2 linked regions of the Rattus norvegicus genome follow. The protein of the gene in region 2 interacts with the protein of the main gene of each other region in a pairwise test. Links are inferred from orthologs where the notes say so. Each region holds a gene or a part of one and is shown on either strand. Other genes may lie near its edges. The genes, in order: Rpp25l and Arhgef2.

Evidence for each region.
Region 1: the proteins of Arhgef2 (region 2) and Rpp25l interact in binary tests that used the Homo sapiens proteins (3 or more experiments, as listed by UniProt). The two-hybrid records come from large-scale screens. The link is inferred for Rattus norvegicus from reciprocal best matches to the Homo sapiens genes ARHGEF2 and RPP25L.

Annotation. Positions count from the first base shown.
Region 1 is NC_086023.1:61,673,815-61,677,070, reverse strand, and holds Rpp25l (ribonuclease P protein subunit p25-like protein), read left to right. Parts: upstream 1-1,249; 5' UTR 1,250-1,297; exon of another isoform or gene 1,298-1,519; intron 1,520-1,902; 5' UTR 1,903-1,939; coding exon 1,940-2,431; 3' UTR 2,432-2,650; downstream 2,651-3,256. UniProt on the Homo sapiens protein: May be a component of ribonuclease P or MRP.
Region 2 is NC_086020.1:176,412,583-176,416,496, reverse strand, and holds the end of Arhgef2 (rho guanine nucleotide exchange factor 2), read right to left. Parts: intron 2,434-3,914; coding exon 2,250-2,433; intron 1,544-2,249; coding exon 1,470-1,543; 3' UTR 323-1,469; downstream 1-322. UniProt on the Homo sapiens protein: Activates Rho-GTPases by promoting the exchange of GDP for GTP.

The sequences.
Region 1 (3,256 bases), on a different chromosome or scaffold from region 2:
ATGGGCTTGGCTGTGAGGATCTGGGTGGTGAAGAGGAGAGCTGCCAACCCCATGGGATGGGACCAGGAGCTATACCCCTGATCTGGTTTGCTGAGAGATAGAGTTCTCTCATCATTTGACTATACAGCGGGGCATTGTATATTTATTTATCTTATATTTGCCAACTACCCTCTAAATATCACATCCTATGGTAAGTAAGGAGGGCATAGGCAGGGACAGCTAATCTCTACACAGGGTTTGGGGAAGACCAGGTAGGCCTGCATGTCAGGTGGTCCTGGAGGAGCAGGAATGGACGTTCAGAGCCAAGGCTGCACTGCCTTGTGTCTACATAATACCAGTAGCCAGAGGAGGAGCCCAAGATGTAAGAAATTTTAGGATCTTGAGAGGAGGAAAATCAGGGTACATTGATGAGAAAACAGGGAGAAACAGTACCGCGCTCCACCCGGTGTATGCTGCCCTCTTGTGGTCTGAGGGAGTGCCTTAGCTCCTTCAACTGCCTGTAGAGTTGCTTCAGCCCAACCTGTAGAGTTGCTGGCATCCAAAATGCAGCGTATCCAAACGGATCTGAAACTGGCAGTCATCCTAAACTATTCTACCCGAATAGTCACCCGCGCGTCCCCAAAACTTCATACAAGTTTCTATCAAGTTTCTACCACCTCTTCTCAATTCTTGCTGTTTCGGTGGTTAACACCTCATTGGACAAATATCGGAGGGCCTATTTTTACCCTGGATACTGGACTAGGCTCTGTGCGCACGCCCCCGTGGCCGAAGCGCTATGATGATGTTGAGTACAGCCCCTTCCCAGGGTCACCAGTATCTGTTGCCCCCACTACCGGATCCGCCATGCTTATAAACCAATCCTCCGTGGCCAATGAGTTATGCACAAGCTATGGCTTAGACCTTACTGAAAACCGCCGGGGTTGATCAGTGTCCCAGGATGAGAACAAAGCTCAGAACTCCGTAACTAAGGGTCTTGCCTGCTTGTACCCACCACGGACGTCGCCTTCGCTGCTGTGCCATCCATCCTTTAAAGGCACAAATCTGCATTCTTCAGGACTCCTCCGATAGCTGTTGCTCTCTCAGGTGGGCCTTCTGCAGGTGCCGGTGTGTACCGCGGACCACTGCGCTGACGCTCGAGGCCGCCCAGGTGACAGCATCAGCTCCTCTGAGTCGAACAGCAACCCGGGTTTCCCTCAGGTCCCGCCCCCTGCGTGCGCGGCCCCGCGGCTCCGCGCGCTCTCGGTCTGCACGCCATCTTGGCTACCCGGTGAGGGTTGAGCGTCTTCTGGCAACGGTGGTAAGAGCCAAATCCCAGGGAGTGGGGACTCAGAGTTAGGGAAAGGGGGATACCTGCTGCCTGGGACAGCGGCCCACGATCGGGGAGTCCGCCAACCGCTCACGAGTGGCCCGAGCAGCTCTCCGGGGAGTCCTCACCCGCGAGTTCCCGAGTGGCCCGGTTCAAGCTAGCCTACTCAGTTAATCTGGGAGTGAGGTCTTCTCTGCCCCCCACACACCGTAGGTGAGACCGATCCTTTCTTTGGGGAGTACTTTGTGAGGGTTCATGGCTGTGCCCCAGGGTCCTTGAAGCCCAGTGAGGAGAACCTGCCTGTTCTTAGAGAGTTGTGGGCCTGGGGTCTGGGACCTAGCCCCGGAGAGCTTGAGATGATGAAGCACAACCCTACCCCAGAGAGCCTAGTTTTTGGGAATTTGTTTTTGTCAATGTTAGAGACTCGTGGATGTATTTAGAAAGGGGTAGATAATTCTCGGCCCCAGCCTTGAAGTGCTGGGGTGAGGGTGTAAAAGCACTCTCCGTGGTGAGGAACAGGACCACATTCTGGAGGGAGTGATGGAGGATGGTCCATGTGATCATGTTCCTGCCACTCATCTGACTCTTTCCCGCAGTGTATATCCAGAGAGTCACCAAAGGCTCGAAAGCAGAATGGAGCACTACCGGAGGGCTGGCTCTGTAGAGCTCCCAGCCTCATCACCAATGCCCCAGCTACCTCCCGACACGCTGGAAATGCGGGTCCGAGATGGGAGCAAAATCCGAAACCTACTAGGGCTGGCACTGGCTCGTTTGGAAGGAGGAAGCACAAGGCACGTGGTGTTCTCAGGCTCCGGCCGGGCCGCTGGAAAGGCCGTCAGCTGTGCAGAGATTGTCAAACGGCGGGTTCCGGGCCTACACCAGCTCACCAAGCTTCGCTTCCTGCAAACTGAGGACAGCTGGGTCCCAACTTCACCGGACACGGGCCTGGACCCCCTCACAGTCCGACGCCATGTGCCTGCAGTGTGGGTACTGCTTAGTCGGGACCCCTTGGACCCCAGTGAATGTGGCTACCAACCCCCAGGTGCACCTCCTGGCCTGGGCTCCATACCTAGTTCCAGCTGTGGTCCCAGACCCCGAAGGAGGGCTCGGGACACCCGGTCCTGACGATCTGCTGGACCTGACTGTACTCTAGACCTGAGTATCTGTGCCTTCTCTAAGAAGTGCTTGTGATTGCTCACCATGCCAGCAGAGTCCACAGAAGAACTTCCCCTCCTCTCTGGAATGAGGGGTGGAACTGTTAAAAGCACTGGTGTGAGCGCAAGGCCCTGGGTTCGGTCCCCAGCTCCGAAAAAAAGAACCAAAAAAAAAAAAAAAAAAAAAAAAGCACTGGTGTGGGTCCGGTCAGTGCTGAGTTAAAGACTGCGTGAGGAGAGCTTACTCTGCCTCTATAGTATGTCTGACTTGCCTTTTCTGACTAGGGAAGGGAAATAAAGGTTGTGCCGCTTTGTTTGGCCTGCGTGTGAGTGGGGCTTGGCTTTATCCCAGGAGCTCCTAGGCTGGAAGCAGGAAGGATACAGAGAGACTGGCAGTGGATGACGGATCTGGTCTCGATGAAAGTTCTAGCAGTAGTAACCTGGATGGCTTCTTGCCGCCTGCTTTAAGCTGGGTTGGGACTCAGCCAGTTGTCCCATCTGTGGCATGCGTATGTTTTAGTGTAGTGGGATCATGAACTCAGCCTTGGCGGTTCAGGGTTTTGATCCTGGTTCTCCTACTCCCAAGTTACTGCTCTGTGGTTTTGGATAAAAGTTCCTTCTCTGGGTCTTAGCGCTCTCATCCAAAAAGTGGGGGGGTGAGGTGCTTACCTCGTTAGAGCTGTGAAGCTTAGAACGAGGTGCACACATCTGCCATTCAGCCTCCACCTGAGCACCCGGTGCTACACAAAAGGAAGCTCAAGCTTACACACGCGCTGTTTCCCTGAGAGCAGACCTC
Region 2 (3,914 bases):
GGGTGCACATGCACTGGCCCTGCCCCCCCCCCCAAGTGTAGGACCTAGAAACAGGAAGTGGAACGAGCCAAAACCAAGAACTGAAACCAATTACTACCATTCCAAGTGACAGAGTGTACAGGCTGCTACTCCGTGAACGAGGCCCTGGGCTCACAGGGTGGGAATGAAAATGGGGGGCAGGGAGGGGAACCGAGAGGGGTGGTTAGAGCCAGATGTGCCCTGTGAGCACAGCACACAAATAAGATGCAAATTAGTGTTCTAATGTCTGTATCATTAACAGCCAGCCGCTGGAGGCTGAACGGCGCTTCATTTCCAGCCTTGCAATTTTGAGATGTTTAATAAGAGTTTGAGCAGCTGCATCCATTCATGCCCTCTTCTGTGAGGTAGTGACAGCCCCTTTTCAGAAACCGTGGTCACTGCCTTGCTGCAGGCACGGCAGTCCTCAGAACGGGCACTGAGACAGCACCTCATGCGTGTCAGGTCTTTAATTTTTTCCCTGCCAGAGCTTTTTCTTTCTTTGCTTCGTTGTTACTGTGTTTTTTCTGTTTAACAATTCAATTGGCAGAAAAATGGCTATCGCTGGTGGACATTAGGGTTGCAGTGAAAAAAAAATCCCCCTCCCCCAATTCTTGCTTGCCACCGTGGGAGACGAGGTGAGGGTTCCTAGAGGTTTCCCAACCCACCTCAGAGCTTCCTCTGAGGAAGAGGAATGGCTCTAAATGGCTGAGGAAGAGTTCTGAATGGGAGCCCCCTGACCTTCGATGAAATAGGTCACTGTCTCCCTAATTCCTCAAGTTCAAAGACATGGAGCTAGAAGTGCCTACAATCTTCTTTTAAAAATATAAAACAGGTGCGGTTGGCTTTGGTACAAAAAAAAAAAAAATAAGAAAACAAAACCAAAAACAAAACATTCTGGTCCCTGTATTCTTCCTTCCCCACCCCAATACATTATGGCTACCTGCTCCATCAACTCCAAGGAGCCAGAAATCCATGGAGGATGGAGAGAAAGAACAGCAGAAAGAGGCTAAGGGGAGTGGGAAAAGGGACATGGTCCTACCCACAGCCCTTCTGAAAGGGGCAGTAGGTTCTATGGCCACAGATGGGTGTCACTGGGGTTGATGTTAGGTTGTGTGGCTAAGGCCAAACATATCCCAGTGGTATTAAAGGAGAGGCCCTCTGATACCTATGGCTTGGTTCCCATGTCTCTGGCCCTTTAAATCACCCCCCCAACCAATAAACAATAAATAAATAATTTTTCCTAAGGAGGGGGAGAAGGCATGTAAAATCGGCATCTGTGGTGTGACTGTTGGAGAACACCAGGGGTGCGGTGGCCTCTAAGTCCCCATCCCCATGGCCCCTAGGTATCCAGGGGTCTTGGGAACTGGCAAGGACAATCGGCAGTCCTTTCAAGGTTTGCCCCTTTACTAATGTTCTTCAGTGGGGGGCACCAGGCAGGGGGAAGCGTCCCCTTAGCTCTCTGAGGCCGTAGGCTCCCCATCTCGGCTTTCTGTCTCTTCGGGAATGTCCTGCATTCGGGTGAAGTCTGTAAGGTGACAGACAGGGTAGGGTAATGAGTGAGCAGGCAGGAGCTCCCAAGAGGAGCAGTGCAGACTTACACAAAGACTCCCAGGGTGGGGCTGGATGACCCTCCGGCAGCAAAGTCACCTTTATAACAGGAAACTCTAAGAGGTATTTGATTCCTTGATAAGGGGGAAGAGGAAGTCTTTAAAACGCATCAGGGGTTATGAGCACTAACTGCTCTTCCAGAGTCCTGAGTTCAAATCCCAGTAACCACATGGTGGTTCACAACCACCTGTAATGGGATTTGATCTCTTCTGCTGTGTCTGAGGACAGCTACAGCATACTTATACGTAATAAATAAATAAATCTTTAAAAAAAATGGATTCCGGGCTGGGGATTTAGCTCAGTGGTAGAGCGCTAACCTAGGAAGCGCAAGGTCCTGGGTTCGGTCCCCAGCTCCAAAAAAAAGAACAACAACAACAACAACAACAACAACAACAACAAAAAAATGGATTCCTACTACTTCCAAAGGTTGGGGGTCACCAACCAATGGAAAAGCACTGCTTCCTTCTCAAGGATTTCACCACCAGTTTGTCTTCTCACAGAACAGGGAAACCGTCCCTGTCTCTCCCAGCATTACCAACCCTCAAGGTGTCACTTAGCGTACATTCAGAAGTCACAGTCCCAAGGGCTTGGACCCAGACCCCACAACCACTCTTGGGTCTCACCTCGTGGACTGTGGGGTGGGGACAGCCGGCTACTGACTTCCTCCTCACTGCAAGTATCAGGGTCACTGCTGTCCTGCAGTCGATCCTCGGGGCTACCAAGTTCTTGTGCCTCTCGGTCATCAAAGGGTCGGTGGAGGGAACGAACAGTCACAGGCAAATCCAGGCGGTCATGGCCTCGACTAGGCTATGGGAAGAAAAGCACAAGCTCAGGGGATGAGCAGTGTGCAGGCACGGGTGAGCCTTTTGGGTCCCAACATGCATTGTCTCTTGGGGTTCACCAATGACTCCCTCTCAGGAGATCCACCACCCACTTGATATCCTTAAACACTCCACATCTGCTGGGCTCAGTTGCTCCTCCAGTTGGCCTTCATACACAAGAACTCCAAGTACCCATAATATGCCACATAGACTAATAGAAATATTTGTTTATTTGAAGTGCCGGAGATTTGCACAGGCCTCTGCAACTAAACTTAGCCTTAAGTTTCTTTTCAGTTTAACTAGTACTTCTTGTCTATGTGTGTGCACTCGTGTATAAAGAAGTCAGAGTCTCAGGTTAGACCTGAGAAAAAACATTCCCACAACTGTCTGATTAAAGAAAGCAAGCTATATTTCGAAGTGCCCAGGGTCTGGCCAGATGACTGCCCCTGCTAAGTCAGGGTTTCAGAGAGCAGCCCCTCATTGCCTTCTGAGGTCTTATTTATGGGAAAGGGTTTGGGTTGATAGAAAACAACTGTTTAGATTGGTGTGAGCATCTGGACAGAGGAGATTCAGGACTCAAGGCTGGCTGCCTGCCTGCCTGCCAGTAGCTTAAGTGCAAGAGTATATTTCCTAAGGGGGTAGGATAGCATCATAGAGTTAAAAGTTCAGCATAGCTTGAAAAATAGTGTCCAGGTACATTAGATTTAAGAAACAAACTTACTCTTGTAAGGGATGGAGACTTAGTAACAATTTATAACAAAGTGCCTCCTTAGCAACAGAGCTCCTTACTATAGGGCAGTTTCATCGTCAACCTGGGGTGTCATTCCTTTTTTCTTATTTTCTTTCTTTCTTTTTTTTTTTTTTTTGGTTCTTTTTTTCGGAGCTGGGGACCGTTCTTATTTTCTTTTAAAGATTCATTCATTTTTACTTTATGAGCACTGGTGTTTTCCCTGCCTTTATGTGTGTGAGAGGATGCCAGGTCTCTTGGAACTTATGTGGGTTCTGGGACTTGAACCTGGGTACTCTAGAGACAGCCTGATTCTTTCTTTCTTTCTTTTAAATTTTATGTGTACTGGGGGTTGGGGATTTAGCTCAGTGGTAGAGCGCTTGCCTAGGAAGCGCAAGGCCCTGGGTTTGGTCCCCAGCTCCGAAAAAAAGAACCAAAAAAAAAGGGGGGGTTGGGGATTTAGCTCAGTGGTAGAGCACTTGCCTAGGAAGCGCAAGGCCCTGGGTTGGGTCCCCAGCTCCGAAAAAAAGAACCAAAAAAAAAAAAAAAAAATTCATGTGTACTGATGTTTTGCCTCAGCGTATGTATGAGGGTGTTGGAAACCCTAGAACAGACATTATAAGGCTGCGAGCTGCCATGTGGGTGCTGGGAATTGAAGTTCTGGAAGAGCAGCCAGTGTTCTTAACCGCTGAGCTATCTCTCCAGCCCCAGGTGTCATGTCTTTAAGTGGCGGTGGCGGT